4 linked regions of the Schizosaccharomyces pombe genome follow. Changing the gene in region 3 together with the main gene of any one other region gives a genetic interaction. Each region holds a gene or a part of one and is shown on either strand. Other genes may lie near its edges. The genes, in order: sod2, SPOM_SPAC7D4.12C, SPOM_SPBC8D2.16C and idp1.

Evidence for each region.
Region 1: mutations in SPOM_SPBC8D2.16C (region 3) and sod2 together harm fitness more than expected from each alone (negative genetic interaction), as found in Schizosaccharomyces pombe (one large-scale study listed by BioGRID).
Region 2: mutations in SPOM_SPBC8D2.16C (region 3) and SPOM_SPAC7D4.12C together harm fitness less than expected from each alone (positive genetic interaction), as found in Schizosaccharomyces pombe (one large-scale study listed by BioGRID).
Region 4: mutations in SPOM_SPBC8D2.16C (region 3) and idp1 together harm fitness more than expected from each alone (negative genetic interaction), as found in Schizosaccharomyces pombe (one large-scale study listed by BioGRID).

What each region holds. Positions count from the first base shown.
Region 1 is NC_003424.3:3,183,378-3,187,084, forward strand, and holds sod2 (manganese superoxide dismutase), read left to right. Parts: upstream 1-1,954; 5' UTR 1,955-2,092; coding exon 2,093-2,200; exon of another isoform or gene 2,201-2,323; coding exon 2,324-2,872; 3' UTR 2,873-3,207; downstream 3,208-3,707. Other genes in the region: Golgi Dsc E3 ligase complex transmembrane subunit, C-terminal UBA domain Dsc2, read right to left, coding at 3,377-3,707. UniProt on the Schizosaccharomyces pombe protein: Destroys superoxide anion radicals which are normally produced within the cells and which are toxic to biological systems.
Region 2 is NC_003424.3:2,612,893-2,618,099, reverse strand, and holds SPOM_SPAC7D4.12C (uncharacterized protein), read right to left. Parts: upstream 3,294-5,207; 5' UTR 3,059-3,293; coding exon 779-3,058; 3' UTR 505-778; downstream 1-504. Other genes in the region: secretory pathway protein Sec39, read right to left, coding at 1-125; SPOM_SPAC7D4.13C (uncharacterized protein), read right to left, coding at 3,794-4,717, 4,790-4,804.
Region 3 is NC_003423.3:1,385,797-1,390,577, forward strand, and holds SPOM_SPBC8D2.16C (uncharacterized protein), read right to left. Parts: upstream 3,086-4,781; 5' UTR 2,942-3,085; coding exon 2,816-2,941; exon of another isoform or gene 2,773-2,815; coding exon 1,951-2,772; 3' UTR 1,656-1,950; coding exon of another isoform or gene 591-1,655; 3' UTR 550-590; downstream 1-549. Other genes in the region: lipoic acid synthetase Lip5, read left to right, coding at 502-549, 591-1,655; alpha-1,2-galactosyltransferase Gmh4, read left to right, coding at 4,387-4,781.
Region 4 is NC_003424.3:3,229,338-3,233,495, reverse strand, and holds idp1 (isocitrate dehydrogenase Idp1), read right to left. Parts: upstream 2,117-4,158; 5' UTR 1,961-2,116; coding exon 641-1,960; 3' UTR 520-640; downstream 1-519. Other genes in the region: cbc1 (nuclear cap-binding complex large subunit), read right to left, coding at 2,572-4,158.

The sequences.
Region 1 (3,707 bases), on a different chromosome or scaffold from region 3:
TAAATTATATTTTGACACATAGAAATTAAAAAAAAATTTAATAGTAAATCTGCGAAGCTTTATAATTTATTGTCACAACGTGTTTTTACAATTACCTTTTTAGCAAAGGCTCTAAAAAATCAGGAAAGTACTTTTATATTATTTCATTATGTTTCTGTACAAAACAAAAGTATTATGATCCGAGAAATACTAATTTGTAGTAGGTAAACAAAGAGCATTATACTGAATAATAGAATACGAAGCTTGGACAGAGAACAGTTATTAATACTATCCATAATTTTTTAATTTCCCTGTTTTCCTAGTTTGTAGATTTGTTAGCGAGTAATATTTCATGCTTAAAATAAGTTGATTAAGAATCTGATTCGGGTCTACAGTTTGAAAAAGACAGTATATCTTTTCAGAATGATTATGACGATATAGTTTTATCGAGTTTGTGGAAATTACTGTTGAAATAATTAAAGATGTATGAATTAATTAATTACTTAACCAAAGGACGGTATGTAAATCTAAAAACAATGTTTGGGGTTTCAAAACACTTGCTTATTTATTATAAGAAAATGCTGAGATTCAAAAATTTTTAGTAAGAAGAAAAGGACTACATTAATTGCGGTTTGCAACTGTTTTGTCATATGGTAACTTAGTAAATTTTTTTGTTTTTGATGAAAAGGTAAATAAATACCCATCATCGCACCTACTAACCTACATACTCCATTGTAATTGAATAGCTCTTTAAAAATGAATAATTTCAATGACAGCATTTGAACTTCCTAACGATTACATTGTTTAATGCATCAATATCGTTAATCAATAATCATTGATATTTGCCAATTGATTAGGAAAGAACAAATTATTTTATGCAATCATGATCTTTATTCCTTAAAAAAAAAAAAAAAAAAAAATTGGGAAATACACATTGTAGCTATACTTGCTAGAACGCGAATTATACTTTGAGTTACACTTTGTCTCACCCAAAATAAAGAAAAAGAAAAAGAAGTTTCATGCACCATTAATAAAAAAAAACACGATAAAAATTACACAAAAAATTTATACAAGCAATTAACCTAAAAAATAAAAAAACACAATATAAAATACATGAAAAAAATATATGTATAATTAACTACTAAAATTAGCCGATGCTTATTTCTGGTTCAAAAAGCGAATTGCGTAACTCATGAATATCAATCAATTTTTGTATAGAAAGTTGAAAATATTAAACTTCAAGTACAGTTTTATTAACTGTACAAATATTTGCCGAGTTACTTCCTCGTTATTACCGCTTCGCTGCACTACTTATCTATTTTGCAAAGGCAATTCCTTCAACTCTGATTTCGATACCCTTTAACTAGTAGAGCCGCTGTTTCTTTTTTCATTGTGTGCTTATAAGGGTAATTTGTTGCAGGACGGATTTTTCAATTGCATCAATACTCAATCGCATCAGAAGTCAATTTGAAAAAATAAAATATTTACAATGTACTAATCACACTACTAGTTGCACTCGCCGAATTCTTGATTCGGTATTGTAAAATCATTTCTAACAATTCAATGTAAAGAAGTTGCCCTTTTAAACTTCAGTAACATTTGTTGAGTTGTCATTTCTATAAGTTCAAGTACCATTAATTGCTTGCACTTAACAAAACCTTCCAAAATTTTTTGCTTGATAATAATGTCGTAGTAAATATTATTACATTGCTATAATCTAGTAACCTAGAGTAATGAAGATTGCTAAATGAATGCAGAGAATTTTGAGAAGTTGGTGAAATGAAGATACGTTGAACTTCACATTCTACTCTATAAAACTAGTTCTTAATGGTTCATTAACAAGTTGCACAATTTGTTGTTTACCACATTTTTGGTGTAATATTTCGGAAATGACTTTCTCCAGACATTTCATAGGCCAGACGTAATTTCGAGAATTTATATAGGCTCCTTTCACCCTACTCCATACTTTCCCTCTACCATATACGATTTGTTCAATCAAACCGTACAATTTAGTTATAAGTTAAGGTATTTAACAAAGAAAACATTTCGGTTTACTTTGTTCGTTGGTCACTTTGGTTGCTATTACTTTTTTACTTTTGATCTCATTTTAACGATGCTTCGCTTTTTGTCTAAGAACTCTGTAGCCGCTATTAGGAACGTCTCAATTGCCAGGGGAGTTCATACTAAGGCTACTCTTCCCCCTTTACCTTATGCTTACAATGTATGCAATAAATAGTTGTAAAAGCAATTGCTCATGTTGATGGGTTCTGAAGCAATCATAAGTTTTGGATGTTTCCCACTGTCTAGTTAATTTGTTAATGATGATTACTAACTATAGCTTTAGGCACTTGAACCTGCTTTGTCGGAAACGATTATGAAGTTACATCATGACAAGCATCACCAAACATATGTTAACAACTTGAATGCCGCTCAGGAGAAGCTGGCCGATCCCAACCTCGATTTGGAGGGAGAGGTTGCCCTTCAAGCTGCTATTAAATTCAATGGCGGTGGTCACATCAATCATTCTCTCTTTTGGAAGATTTTAGCACCTCAAAAGGAAGGTGGTGGCAAACCCGTCACCTCTGGATCTTTACATAAGGCTATAACCTCTAAATGGGGTTCTTTGGAGGATTTCCAGAAGGAAATGAATGCCGCCTTAGCTAGCATCCAAGGTAGTGGTTGGGCATGGCTAATCGTGGATAAAGACGGTAGTCTCCGTATTACTACTACTGCTAACCAAGACACGATTGTCAAGTCCAAGCCCATTATTGGAATTGATGCTTGGGAACATGCCTACTATCCTCAATACGAGAATCGTAAGGCCGAATACTTTAAAGCTATTTGGAATGTGATTAATTGGAAAGAGGCCGAGTCTCGTTATTCCAACCGTTAAGTCCTTAAACATGTTATGCTCGATTACGAAAACACCCTGCTCATCTATCTATCCAGCTAACAAAGTATCAATTACCAGGAAAGTGTGATGTTTTGTTATTTTATTTTTGTGTTTCTTTTTGGCAGTAGCTTTGAATTTTCAAATTCATAGATTTGATAAGTTTCTAGTCTACTACCTTTGATCAATGAATGAACTAAATTTTACATTGAAATTTCCTGAAATAAAGCTATTAGACAATACCAAATTTTTTCGTTAACGATTACTACAGATCCATATTTACGAATAAAGTAAAAAATAAAAGACTAGAAACCTTCACCACTCACAGGTTTGCGCAATCATTGACAGTAAACAATTAGCTTATGATAAATGGGACAAAACAATTGCTATGTAGGAAATGTAAATAATTCATGGTAAGAAATGATGTTCAAAATTAGCAAAATTTTAAACAGGAAAGAACGAAGATAAGAAATGTGTTGTTTTGTGATCGCTTGATTAAAGAACAGTTTAATAGTCGGCTGTTTGCTCCAATAACAATTCTACAGCTCTCTGCACATCGTTAGTTTGAGATAAGGCCTGGATAGCTTGAGCTCTAGAAGTTTGCATAATCGTTTGGACAGTGTTTATATCCTCTTCTCTAATATTTCCTAATTCAGGACGTTCTGATCGGCCGCTTAACATATCGTACAACTGAGAAGCCGGTCCTGTTGGGAGAACAGAAGATGACGAGGTTCGACCAAGGGGAGGATGTGATATTTGCTGACGATTACGGAACGATGCTGCAGTATTGGATGAAGAAGCGATAGCTGTTGCTCGAGCGTTCTGTCGAGTCGGAGAA
Region 2 (5,207 bases), on a different chromosome or scaffold from region 3:
AGTAACTTGTAAACAAATTTAGCTTCAGGTAATTTCTTATTAATTATTAGAGATATTAAAAGGTACAATTTTTGTGATTCAGTTAATGAAAATAACCATTTGGACTCCAATTTGTCTTCATTCATAATATGAGCTTGGAAAGAAGGTAAGAGTCAGGGTAAACATTACTTACCATGGGATGAGGTGATAGTAGGTCAAGTTTCCTTAACTAAGATATTTTTAGTTTAGCATTATTGAACTTAATAATAGCTTGTTAGTAGGAATTATTAAGATACATTAGGAAGTTTTTACCGTTATTTACATATCTCAATAAACTCATGATTTTTTTATGCTTTCCTACAAATATTAATATTTTCAAGCGGCGTCAATAAAGTCTTTTAATATACAAAACGCAGTCTAGTTATTCAAAACATCAGCAAATCACGAATACAGCATAAATTATATATCAGAATTATTTACGAGAAGTTGTACTCATGCTCTATATAATCTTTACAATAAGCTCTGCTAAATCTTTGTAATAAATTGATTAATTTTTTTAATAATCAGAGAAAATGATACTCTATATGCTAGGAAATACTAATAAATAATAAAAAATCAAGTGAAGTTGATTAATAAATAATATCCGACGTCTCAGTACGGCATAACTTAAGCCATAAAGATCAAAATAGATTTAAATTTTGATATTTTTTAAAGAAAAAAATTCCGGATTTTCTAGAACCAGTAAAGAGGAAGCTTTATAAAAATGTGAATTTTTGAAAAAATTGAAAAACGAATATTGTCAAAAACTAAATAAGCCAGATCGTCGTTTTCCGAAAGGATACACTACCAATGCAGACGCAAATAGGCCAACAGAAATTCCGATAGCAATTTGAACCATAACCAAACCGAATTTTAAAGAATTAACATCCAAAGTAGAAGAACTTGAGGTGTTGTAAGTATTGTTCGTTAAAGAAGTAGCAACTTCAATGCCAGAAGAAATACCACCTTGAGCAGCCAAACCAGAGGGGACTTGAACAAATATAGCAGGCAATACAGCAGCGAACGCAACTCCTCGACCTAAACGTGAATATATATTACCCAAACAACCAATCGCAAAAGAACCAATTGCATTCGCAATCGGATTTGATCCGAAATGCTTGGCGGTGAAATAATTAACGACATAGCCTGCACAAGATATGAAAATCGAAACAGGCCATTGAGAGGGCCTTGCCTGATTTACAATTAAAAGACACAAAGTAAACAAGGGAACAAACAAAATTTTCCATTTATCATCCATTTGAGTAGATACCGGACATGAAGTTGAGTCAGTGGCATTATGATCCATCCAACCATAAAGAGCTGCCCCAATTGATATACCGAAACTCAAAAATAAAGAATAAATGATGGCATAAAACATTCGAACTCCTCCTGCCACAATATTTTTACTTTGTAGCTCCAGCGAACCACAAAGTACGATATAACCTGGAAGAATTAACACAATCGCGCCCTCCGCAAGCGCAGAAAAACAGAATCGACGACCACCAGAATACCGAATGCTACCAAAAGCTCTACTTAGAAAAGATGTAATAATTGAGCCAGTCACCTCAAAAAGACTATTATACATGGTTGAACGAGGAGCGATATAGTGCTGAAGAATCCCTACGAGGCAACCTAATATAAATGCAATAGGCAAATCAATCCATCCGCCTTGAAAAGACATCGGCAGAATAGTGGCACTAGCAAAACCATAAAAAACAACAAGTATCCAAGTTCTAAAATAAGGAGGAGATTTAAAAATTTCATCTAAACCTCTAATTGCCTCCTCAACACCCATACGGTCGTGCAAAACAGCTTTATATATGTCATGGACCAACTTCAAACGCCCAAGATCAATTGTTTGATTTACACGAACAATGTGCATATCAGAAGTATGAGTGTTAACATCACCAAATGACACTATCATACATCCAGGAATGTACAAAAATTGTCCCTCTATTTCGAGAACCTTTGCTGCAGAAGCCATATGTTCTTCTAAACGATGACTAGGAGCACCATATACCATTAAAGCACGGCATAGTTTTAAAATATATTTTTGGCGTTGTAAAATGTCAGCCAAATGAATAGTGATTTTATATTCTTCGTTCAAACCAGAATTCTTCCTACTGTGATGGTGAAAATTAAATTTTCTACCACGAGAATGACCTGTTTTAGAGAATTGAGGAATTTCCTCCGTAGACTGCAAGCCAGAAGCAGGCGCCATAAAAGTCTGATTTGATGCGTGCAAAAGGTCTGTAAGTGAATTACTAGAAGCAGTCCTTTTAGCGTGTTTTTGCCATTTTGTAGGATCAGTGTGCTTCAAAGAAATCCTACTGGATGTAACTGTATTAGAATTTGTATACAACTTCAGCAAATTTGACAATACGCCGCCACGATAAGAAGCCTTAGGATTAGCAAATGGATCAGATTCATCTATATTGTCATCTTGTTCGTTATCTTTAACATCTTCTCCTTCATCATTAGCGGCCTTCAAAGCGTTTAGCCTCATATGCTCTAATCGAGCTGCCGTGTGAGCAGCAACAAGCTTGTACGCTTCTGTTGTAGTAGAGGGTAGTTCATTAGTTGATTCGACATTAGACATTTTTTCCGGATCGCTCTGTAAATTTTTAGCAGCGATCATAGGTGCTGAGTAGCTTCTATCCAGAGTAGGCCTACGCATTGGTAAGCTATTGACGGAATTTGAACTACTTTGGGTTTTATAGCTAGCTGCATAGCTTTCAACGTCTGTATTCCTAGCATCCAATAGGCCTACTTTTGATGCGGTAGGACTTGGAACAGCCGGCATGTTTACTAAATATTGATCCATGGAAGTTATAGAGCCTCTTTTGCGAAAAGCAGCAGGAGAAGGCGCCCTATGAACAGGAAGAACCTGTGGTCCATCATCATCCTCTGTATCTTCATCATCTTCTTCTATTAAAAATGTAGGGGTCTGAAACGAAGTGGAACTCGGAAAAGATGTTTGTAAGGGAGAGAGGTAAGGTCGTCTATCGGTATTGAAACGCACTCTACGATTTCCGTCCATTGTTTTTTATTTTTCTAAAAAATAACTTTTCTTTTCTAAAATGATAATAAAATTTGAAGATATTCGTGTCGCTGATGTTAATCGCAACAATCAACACACGCCCATAAAAAATCTAATTTACTTCATTCAATGAATCATCACAAATATGATCAATTGTTTTAAAATAATTTAAAACAATTGCAATTCACTAGTTGAAGCACTACAGTTTTCAATTGACACTCCTAAGTGGGTTTATGCTAGGTGGTTAGTGAACACTTTACGCCTCTATACCAAAAATTCCACGTGGTTCGCCTTAATGTCGTTCGTGTCTAGAGCCAGCTTTAGGGAGTAATCAGTATTTTATATTTATTCTTTTAAAATTCTCCGGCCGTATAATAAAAAATTGATGGTTTCTGATGCTGTCGGCGGCGACGCAAATTCATTAAATATGAAATATATTTACTGCCCAGCTTTAAAAAAAAATATACAACTTAAACGACAAAGCTTCCCTCACTTTATTCTGCCACTTATCTATATTAAAAATGTATTTACTTATTACTTTAATTAGTTTTTACAAATGACCATTAAACTCTGTCAACATAATATCCTGTTTCTACAGGATACAGTCATTTATTTAATGAATAATCATCGGTAGTTACTAGCATTATAGCATTCATGCCACGAATCTCAGACCGTGAAATAAAATACTATATAAAAAGATTATAAGCAGCATTAAGCCAGTAATTTTCGTTAGTATTATTTGGTTTTATTCAAATAAGCCGATGATAATAGAATGTCACGAAAAGCGAGATTCATGGAAACAGAAAGTTTTAACTCGGTGCCCCGAAAAATAAAATAATTAACCAACATCAACAACTCGTCTCTGGAAAATGCATTTAAAAATGTTGTTTTCAAGTCAGTTTCATAAAATCTTTTTCTTGCTTTAGCAAGACTTTTGATATGTAAAGGTTCTAAGTCAAGATGAAGAAAAATCTGTAAATTGTTTATTATATTCAAATTCTCCAGCACATACTTATTGTAAAAGTCATCTGTAAGGCTCATCGTGCTAGCTTTAGAATACTGATAAAACAAAATCCTTAAAGCTGCCATAGGAGGAAGGATTGCCATATCCAAGAACTTTTGAATTAGGAAAGAGGGGTAAGGAATCAATAAATTTCGTGGACTTTTAAATTTTGATAAGATATACTGCTGGTCCTTTTCAAATTTCATATTTTCTCTTCGAGAAAATGACCACGAGATGTCTCCTAATGTCTCAGCAGTCATAGGATAAGGCACGAATGAAAGAAGGTGTCTATTCCTTTTAAAAGGATGCAACAAAGACGATTTTGAAAATTCCAAAAGATTTGCATTCGTGATCCCATGTTTTGTAAGAATATCAGTTATTTTTTCGATAACTGGGTATGGTTGGTTTACTAAAAGTAAACATGCACTCGGAGAGCTTTTAATTTCAGGAATTAGTTTATGAATTGAGTCGACAGTTAGATTCCATTTGGTAGATACTATAAAGGTCACTCCCTTGTATCCAGTATATTCTTGAACTTTAAAAATGCTATGTGCATTTTCGGGATATTTAGTAATACATTTAACGCCCTTTAAAAATTCATTTTTCAGTTTCGTCTTTAAAAGTTGTATTGCTGAGTTTTTGATGTTATGAGTACCCTAGGTTTTAGTAGTTAGAGAAAGAAAGAGAAAAATAATGATATGTAATATTCATTCAAAAAGCTAACCTACAATAAATAGACTCATACGTCTAAATGAGTTGTTTCGACCGTCCGAATTTTGCTTTTATTAAGTCCAGTAGAATAATCGCTGTAGACGTAAGTAAAAGGTCTCTTATGTTACAGTCAATTAGGGTTTATGTGTCTTTTACATGCTAATGTTAACTAAAGAAACTTTTTCAAAATTTCTTCAATAATCTTGCATTTGGGAGCTTTAAAATTTGATTATCGAATAAGAAAGTAATATAACTATTCACATAATCCATAGTCTCTTTGTTTATTCACATCCATTAGAATAGGCTTACAAAGTACTTATACTATTTATGAAACGCCTCTTATTAATCATCTAAAAAAGTATTTATGTATAAATGAATTTGAAAATGTTAACTGAAAGTGCGAAACCAATTTATGCAACATGAATATTCTATCTA
Region 3 (4,781 bases):
GAAAATCTGTCTAGGCCTGTTTTTACAGGGCTTTCATAAATGAGTAAATCGAAGTCGAAATCAAAGTGACCTTGCAGAAACATACTATACATATTCATAATAGGAAGCTAAAGTTTTGAAAATCACTCAAAAAATAGGAGAATCCCTATGACGAGAAATTTACCATAGTACGTGAGACCACAAAATTTTGAGAGTTTATTTGAAAAAAATATTCAATTATATCTTTACTTTACGCTTGTAGTTTGGCTGATTAGTGTCCAAAACTATGGTAAACAGCTTGGTTTAATGTTTTGAATTTTCTTACAATTGTCCACAAACTGAGTCGTATTCAACAAAAAAAACGAAACTTCGAATTATGAAGGAGACTGTTTAATAGGTAAAATAACGTTTAAAACATCTGTTTTCTATTGATGGGCTAACACGGATAATAGGTAGTAGTAAGGTTAGTACTTTATATCCAATCCCATACTGTCTAATAGTCCTTACTTCCTCTACACAGCAATGTTGAAAATAGGTCGAAATGCTACGATATTAAAAAACAATTTTTGGGTGAGTTTTCTTTTATTTATAGTTTTATTAATATAGCATAGTTTGCCTCCGTGAGGTTTCAATCTGGAGGGTTTTCAGAAAAGTTGGCGAAAGGACCATCATTTGCAGATTTCTTGAACATGGATAAACCATTGACTGCTGACGAAGCTTTCGAGTTAGATAGAAAAGTAGAGCTACCAAATGGCTCTATACACAAAAGATTGCCTTCATGGCTTAAAACCAAAGTTCCACTAGGAACAAATTTTAACCGAATAAAGCATGATTTGCGGGGATCTCATCTCCATACGGTTTGTGAAGAAGCGAAATGTCCGAATATTGGAGAATGCTGGGGAGGTAAAGACAAATCTCGTGCCACAGCTACGATCATGCTTATGGGTGATACTTGTACTCGTGGATGTCGCTTTTGTTCGGTAAAGACCAGTCGCCGTCCAGGTCCTTTAGATCCCAACGAGCCTGAAAATACAGCAGAAGCCATCAAACAATGGAACCTTGGGTACATTGTTCTCACTAGTGTCGATAGAGATGACCTGACTGACCTTGGTGCCAATCATATAGCAAAAACGATTCAAAAAATTAAAGAAAAAGCCCCGCACATCTTGGTAGAAGCTTTGACCCCCGATTTTAGTGGAAGAATGGATTTGGTTGAGATTGTAGCTAAATCTGGTTTGGACGTCTTTGCACACAATGTAGAAACGGTAGAGGAACTTACCCCATTTGTTCGAGATCGACGAGCCACATATCGACAAAGTCTGAGCGTGCTAAAACATGTGAAGAAAACATGTCCTCACCTTATCACTAAAACCAGTATTATGCTTGGTCTAGGTGAAACCGATGCGGAAATTCTAACAACTCTTAAGGATCTCCTGGAACATAATGTAGATGTCGTTACCTTTGGTCAATATATGAGACCTACCAAACGACACCTAAAAGTGCAAGAGTATGTACATCCTAAGAAGTTTGAATATTGGAAAGAAGTGGCAGAGAAATTAGGATTCTTATACGTGGCTAGTGGTCCACTTGTTCGTAGTAGCTATAAGGCTGGCGAATATTTTATGGAGAATCTTATTAAAAAGAGATCAGGAAACCCTGCTTCTATGAGTGTTTAAACATGGCTGCTTATCTAGGTACACTCGATAGGAGTTTGTCTTCAACAGAATTACCCTTTTTTGCATTGACTCGAATCATCTTTTAAATTTTTTTATTCTTTATTTCAACAATACACTCTTAGATATAATTTTAATCATAATAATTCTCGTCTTAGTTTCTAATATCGTCTTTATACCCAAGTTATCCTTATAATTTATCATATTCAAAATTGATTTTGTTTTCCTTGATTAGCGAGACAGCTTTATAATATTTAAGTAAGAAAAAGACAGCTTCACCTTTGTAAGTATTTAGGCTTTATCGTCGTCCATGCATCAGCAACATATCTGACAAACGGGTCATGGCCGCCAAAAGTATCTCTTCAGGAATGGGATCATTTAGAAAAGAAACTGGGAATGGGTTAAAAGAAATACTTTTGGCAGTGGAGTCTACGAGCTCTTTTTGTACGACATTGTCTTGTAAAACAAGAACAGCATGCCGAAACGAACTTGGTAAACTCGCTTCTAACTCTTTTGAAGTAATAGCTGAAGTCTGACTGTTGATTTGAACAACAAAGTCATATCCACCTTTGTAAGGAGAACTTTTACACAGCTGAGAAGAAAGACATGACCGCACCTTGTAACCCCAATAATGACCACCTTTTTCTCGTGGAGCTGAAAAAGACACGATATCACCTTGAAGCTGGCCTTCTTCGTTTGGAGACTGCGCTTTTAATCGAACCGTGACCCTTGTTCTAGGAGCAAGGACGCTGGGGCTGGAAACGATTACATTGTGAGATAGTCCAGCATTTATAATATATTTATTCTTTGCTTGCGGAGATGGATGAGTAACGATTCCCTCTCGGTATGGGAATTCAATATTCACTGTGCTAGCCTTGTCATTTCTGAGGGGAAGTAATGGAAAGCAGCTAGTATATTTTAGATGTGGATTTAGTGGAAACAATTCCTTCCTCATAAAGAAAGGCGTTTCGAAATAGCATAATAAGTCCGTGAGAAATTTTGTGGGATCCTTTAAATAAGCATCAGAGGAAAGTGTATGTACCTGGGTGTTTTGCACATATTCAGGGTCCTCTAGCAAAATAATTTCGTCAATACCATATAGAGAAACTATTCTCGAAATCTATATTTTGAGTTAATACGCGACAACAACGAATCTTTCAAACCTTCCAGACAAAACTCGTTTTAAGCTGCAAATTGTATGCTACATTTAGACTTGAAATAGGTAATGCTAAAGATATCGTATATCGTCTCGTTGGTGGTAAGCTTTGTATTTCGCTTTCTTTTTCCATAGCAGTTTCTGTAAGCAATTAATGAGAAGTAATAATATGGCCCAAGTAGCAGTATTTTATTTACTTTTTGCTGTCTTGGGAAACAGAATATTAGGATTTGGCTTTTTATAAAAATTTTAACGTCTTAAAAAGTTGGTGAAGAGTAAAGGCATGAATTTCATTTACCAGGCTAAAAACCGTCCATTTAATATAATTAAACTAATTTTAAATTTTTTTTGAAGTATTGATCAAGGTAAAGGGATATTTTATATCAATACTTTTATTGATAGGTAAAAAAAAAAATCCTGTACTTCATAAACAATGAAAAAAATTCAAACAAACAAATGTGTTTAATGCCATTCAATGAGTGCGATTTAAACTATCAATGAGTCTTCGTAAATACCAAAGGGCTATAGAATCCCCTTTTTTTTTTTTTTTTTTTTTCTTTATATGGAAATAATAAAAAAAATGGTGTACACTTTGCTTGCAATTTATATAAACCAACTATACACGCCGAAGCTTGTATATAACCGCTGTAAAAATTTGTTAGTAGAAAAAACAAGATGATATTTTATTAATTACATACATAATTTTTTAAGTCAATAGAAGTTCATCGACTCTGATTCAATTCATCTTCAATCTTACTCTATTTACTATTTACTTTTATGATTTTCGCTATATAATGAGTAGCACCGGGTATAACGCTATAACAGTTTAAAGTATAATTTCAATATCACTAAAAAAATCTAAAAACACGTTAGAGTACGTTAGGTAGGATGCATCGTACACGTTAATCAAAATCCTTCGAATGTCGAACACGCAGACTACAAATACAGCCAAGTTGCTGCCAATTATAAAAGCAACGTTTCTCTGCTCTTAGTACGTGGTTGGGTGGATCCTGATTTCTGTAAAAATCATATTCAATATCAATAACCAGTCCATCTTGACTCGTAGTCTTTGAAACGGTGTAAAAGGATTGTTGTCAGGATAAGCTATAATCTATTGTTGTTTAAATTGTAGAATCTTCCTCTTTTTTAAATATCGCCGATATAGCTTGACAAAAAGGCTCATTTTGAAAGCTAGGCGTTGTGTTCTCGCAAGGTTTCTTTCATTATCCGGTTTTTCGTATTTCTTAGTGAAAACGCCCTCTGTAACATCTTTACTGTTTTAATTTTCGGATATACTCGCGTATATATCGTTGGATCATTTATTTGCATTTAAAAAAGGGCCATATATATTCCATTTTCTTTACGACCCAGATCTTTATACCTTTTTTTCTCTTCTCTATTTATACCTTCTCGATTTACAGATATTCTCTTACCTTCTTTTCTACATTATTTGCACATTTAAAAAACCCCTAAGGTTTATTCTTTTAAACCGTTATCTTGTTCCATAGACGCGCATAACCAACTCATTTTTTCTCGCAAACTGTTTGTTTTGCACTTTTTTACTTTGTATTCTGCAAGATGTTCAACTTTCGTTTATTTTCTCGTAGAGGAAAAAGTTTAGGTCTCTTGGCCATCGTTTTATTGCTTTTTGGCTTTTATTCTTTAAAGTCTTCAATGCCTGTTTATTCCAATTCGATTGGTTCTCCCAGTGCCCATTCCTCTTCATACAAAGGTGTTTCTAAGGCGAAAACATCTCCACAAGATCCTGATTCCGTAGTCATGTTGATTGTTAGTTTTGACGACCATTATGATTCAAGTAGATCTGACTCCAGCTCTGTCTTCCTGGATAAAGTGCTTTCTGATCGTACAGAGTATGCCTTGCGTCATGGCTATACCCTAGTCCACAAGAAAGCCCGCGATATTCAAGCGAGGTATGGTGTCTATGGTACTTGGAGTATTATCCCAGCTTTGAG
Region 4 (4,158 bases), on a different chromosome or scaffold from region 3:
TGGCTGCGTAAAACATTTGGAGCTAAGAACAAAGGCTTACTTTATTTATCAGTTTAACAGAAATTACAAGTAATTAAGTAGTAGCAGTTTTTAAAATGATATTTGTTACAACTTCATTGTATTCGAACATAATAGAAAGCATTTCCATAGTGATATACATTTAATGTAGTTGGGGTTTACGTCCATCAATTGTTTAGTTTATTAGCTCAGTTGTTGAATTTTAATATTAGACCTTTACCTAAATTGTTATGGCTCAATCAATTGCTAGATAAATATGTTTAAGTGGGTTTGAAGCAAAGCTTTAAAGAATCAAGATACATTTGTAGTCAATAAACGGCAAGAAATCCGAAAGATTTCAATGAATAAATGAATAATCATTCAGCTTTTTCCTTTACGTTTAAGGGGAAAAAATTGAAAAAAATTAGATAATAGTGTCATGGTCTGAATATGCATAAAAAATTTACAAAATTTCATGATTAATAGAAATGACTTCCTACACTCCACTGTTAATTGTAAAATAATATAAATGCACACACTTCAAAATAATTGTTTTAACAAAAAGTATCCTAGTAAAAACATGATTGAATAATCCAGAACTTAAACTTCAAAGACTCACTAATCAACAGGTCTAACACTAAAATTAGGCAATGTTGACCAATTCCGAATCGAGCTCGGACTTGACGGCATCCAAAAACTCGAATGTATCAACATAACCATTGGGAGACTTGCTGAGAAGGTAAAGATCCTTTGTCATAATACCCTTCTCAACGCATCGAACACAAGCATGCTCGAGGGCGTTGGCAAACTTAACTAAACGTTCGTTGCCATCTAAACGACCACGATGGGCAAGACCACGAGTCCAGGCAAAGATAGAGGCAATACTGTTGGTTGAAGTCTTCTTACCTTTCAAGTATTGCATGTAGTGACGCTGTACAGTACCATGAGCAGCCTCACTCTCAAAAGTGCGACCGTTGGGATGAATGAGGACAGAAGTCATTAGGCCTAAGGATCCATAAGCTTGGGCAACCACATCCGACATAACATCACCATCGTAATTTTTGCATGCCCAAACAAAACCACCATTGGACTTAATAGCTTGGGCTACCATGTCATCAATTAGACGATGTTGATACCATAAACCTAGTTCCTCAAACTTTTGCTTGTAATCAGATTCATATACTTCTTGGAATGTATCCTTAAATCTACCATCATATTTTTTCAAAATTGTATTCTTAGTGGAAAGATAAAGTGGCATTTTCTTTTGCAAAGCCATTTGGAAAGAACTGTGAGCAAATCCACGAATAGAGTCGTCAGTGTTGTACATAGACATAGCTACACCACTACCGTTGAACTCGTAAACATTGTATGTTTCTTTAGCAGAAGGATTACCTTTAGGGGTGAATGAAAGTTCCAACTTACCGGGGCCTGAAGCTACCAAGTCCGTTGACTTGTATTGATCTCCAAAGGCATGACGCCCGATACAAATAGGGTTCGTCCATCCAGGAATATACTTGGGAATGTTTTTGATTAAAATGGGCTCCCGAAATACTGTACCATTCAAAATGTTACGAATGGTACCATTGGGAGACTTCCACATCTTCTTGAGGTTATACTCTTTCACACGAGCCTCATCAGGAGTAATGGTGGCACATTTGATACCGACATCATTTTTGAGGATAGCTTTGGCTGCATCCACAGTAATTTGGTCGTTTGTCTTATCGCGAGCTTCGATTCCAAGGTCATAATAATCCAATTTAATGTCCATATATGGGAGAACCAACTTTTCACGAATGATCTTCCAAATCACTCTCGTCATCTCATCACCATCCATTTCAACGACTGGGTTTTTAACAGTGATCTTTTGAAAAGATTTGCTTGAAGCCATACGCATATTCATGAAACCACGGCCTGCGGCAGCCAACTTGAAAGGTGCCTTTACGGCAGCACGTACTTCCAACATATTGTGTCAGTTTTTTTATCCTTTAAAGTAAATGAAATATTCGACGAAGCTAAGTTGAGAAGGAGTAGCTGTGCAAATGTCCCTTAAATCCTAGTTCTATCCACCAAACTGCCTCTGTTCCTCACTACTTCTTACAATAGCACAAAGTGGTTGGTTAAGTGTAAGTTACTGATGGCAGTAGTGATTTTGTTACATTTTAGCAATCCTTTCGTTAAACTGAGAAAAGATTTAGTCACTTCTGATATCGGAGATGTGAGTGAACATTTCGCTTATCCATTCGCTCACATAGTATGACACTACGCAAAACTAGAACCGACAAGTCGATCGTAAAATATCTTATCTTTAGATATCCGTTACCTCTGATAGATCTGATAACCCTGTTACCTATAAAATTGAAATCTTCGTTTCTAGTAACTTAACTGTGAAGTGCAGCAGCGTCCTACAAGTGCTTATGAAAATGGGACGTTATAATTAAATATTTAATATAAGCTATATCCACGTTCAAACGTTGTAGCAGATTGACAACGTCGTGATTACCAGTCGAGTTCTTCAGTTTAATCTTTTTGATATCAAAACAACACTTTCTTCATTTTTGTTATAGACTACTTTCTTTATTTTTCCTCATTAGTTGCATCAGCTGCTGTTTGATTATTTTCTGATGGCTGCTCATCTACTGCGTCGACGGGTTGCATTTTTGTGTCTTCCTGTTCCTCACTGGTATTTTCTTGAACAGGCTCGTTTGCTTCTTCTATCGTGTCCTTTTTAACAGAGAGGAAATTTGATTCCACATATTTTAACATAAGGTTAAGCCAATGAGATACCCATATATTTTCAGCATTTTCGGAAATAAGGGCGCGCAAAGCTGACAATAGTAAATTCGTGACAATTTCCTTTTCCTCATTCGCTTCATTGATTAGCGAAGAGTCTTCTTTGTTAGAAACCGAACGCCGCAATCTAGCTGCTAATTTATTAAAAGTGGTGTTAACAAGTGACCACGTATAACTACGAGACCATATAGTCACGTCTTGCTTGATCAACCACTCAATAATAGAGGTAATACTAATTATAGAGTAGTTCAGCATTTTATCTAGCCACATAACTGCGTTGAACGGTTGTAATTTCCAAAATGAAAAAAGTTCATCAACAACCTCTATTTCGGAATCTAATGATTTTCGAGAAAAATGTTTCAATGTATTAAGATGTTTCTCGAACACGTTCAATGCGTGCGAAAACGATCTCGAACCCAAGCTATAAGCACAAGACATAACTAATCGGACAGCAGATGTCTCGGAGTTTTGAATCTCCTCGCTCTGCAAAATAATGTCAAGTTCTTCTAACGGTTTATGTAATCTCAATGCTTCGATAATTTGACTTGACTGTTGATATAGCGGATGAGTCTCATTTTCGTACACGAAATTGGGACCCGACGGTTGTTCGCCAAGCAAACAACGTAACTCTTCAGGGAGTGAGTCAGAAATTCTTGTGTAATAGCTTAAAATAAGTTCCCTAGTAATAGTTTCCCGCATAAAAACTTTTTTTGGATGAAGATCGTCCAGCTCAACGTCAGGAATCCACTCATTCCACTTCCAGTGAAAGTTGAAATTACTAAGGTGATGTGAAAACCAGTCAATAAATCGATCAAGTGTTTGTAAAGGTAAATCAGAAGACATGGTATACATTAGCCGAATGACCCTTCCAAAAGTTGGAGCCAAAATTTTAGGAGCGATACGGCAGCATTCAATCAAAAGCGAATGATAATAGACAGGTTTATACGTAGTATTCTGTGAACCAAGAAGCTCACCCAAAACAGCTTCAACTATGATATCTTCTGCTTTCCAACGTGATTCCGATGGATCTAAATTTGGTAATTCATTTACTGGAGTACCACGAAGAGCAAAAGTTTTGTAGGTAAAATAAACATCTAAATCTGTAAGAACTTGAGCAGCCTCAACTCGGTTAAATTCCAAATGGTTTATAACATCCACACTTATATCACGAAATATGCTGGCTGCAACGTCGGAAGCGTCAGGAGTCGTGCGAATTTCAAAGTTATTAAAAAGCTCAAAAAATCTCTTGAAGGAAGGTAGCTCATTTTGCTGAGGAGTGGGCTGAAACGTCCATTCAGGAATACTTGGGCTAACCGGAACAATATGAACGAAATCAGATTCAAAAAACTTCCAGGGTTGAGATATATAAGG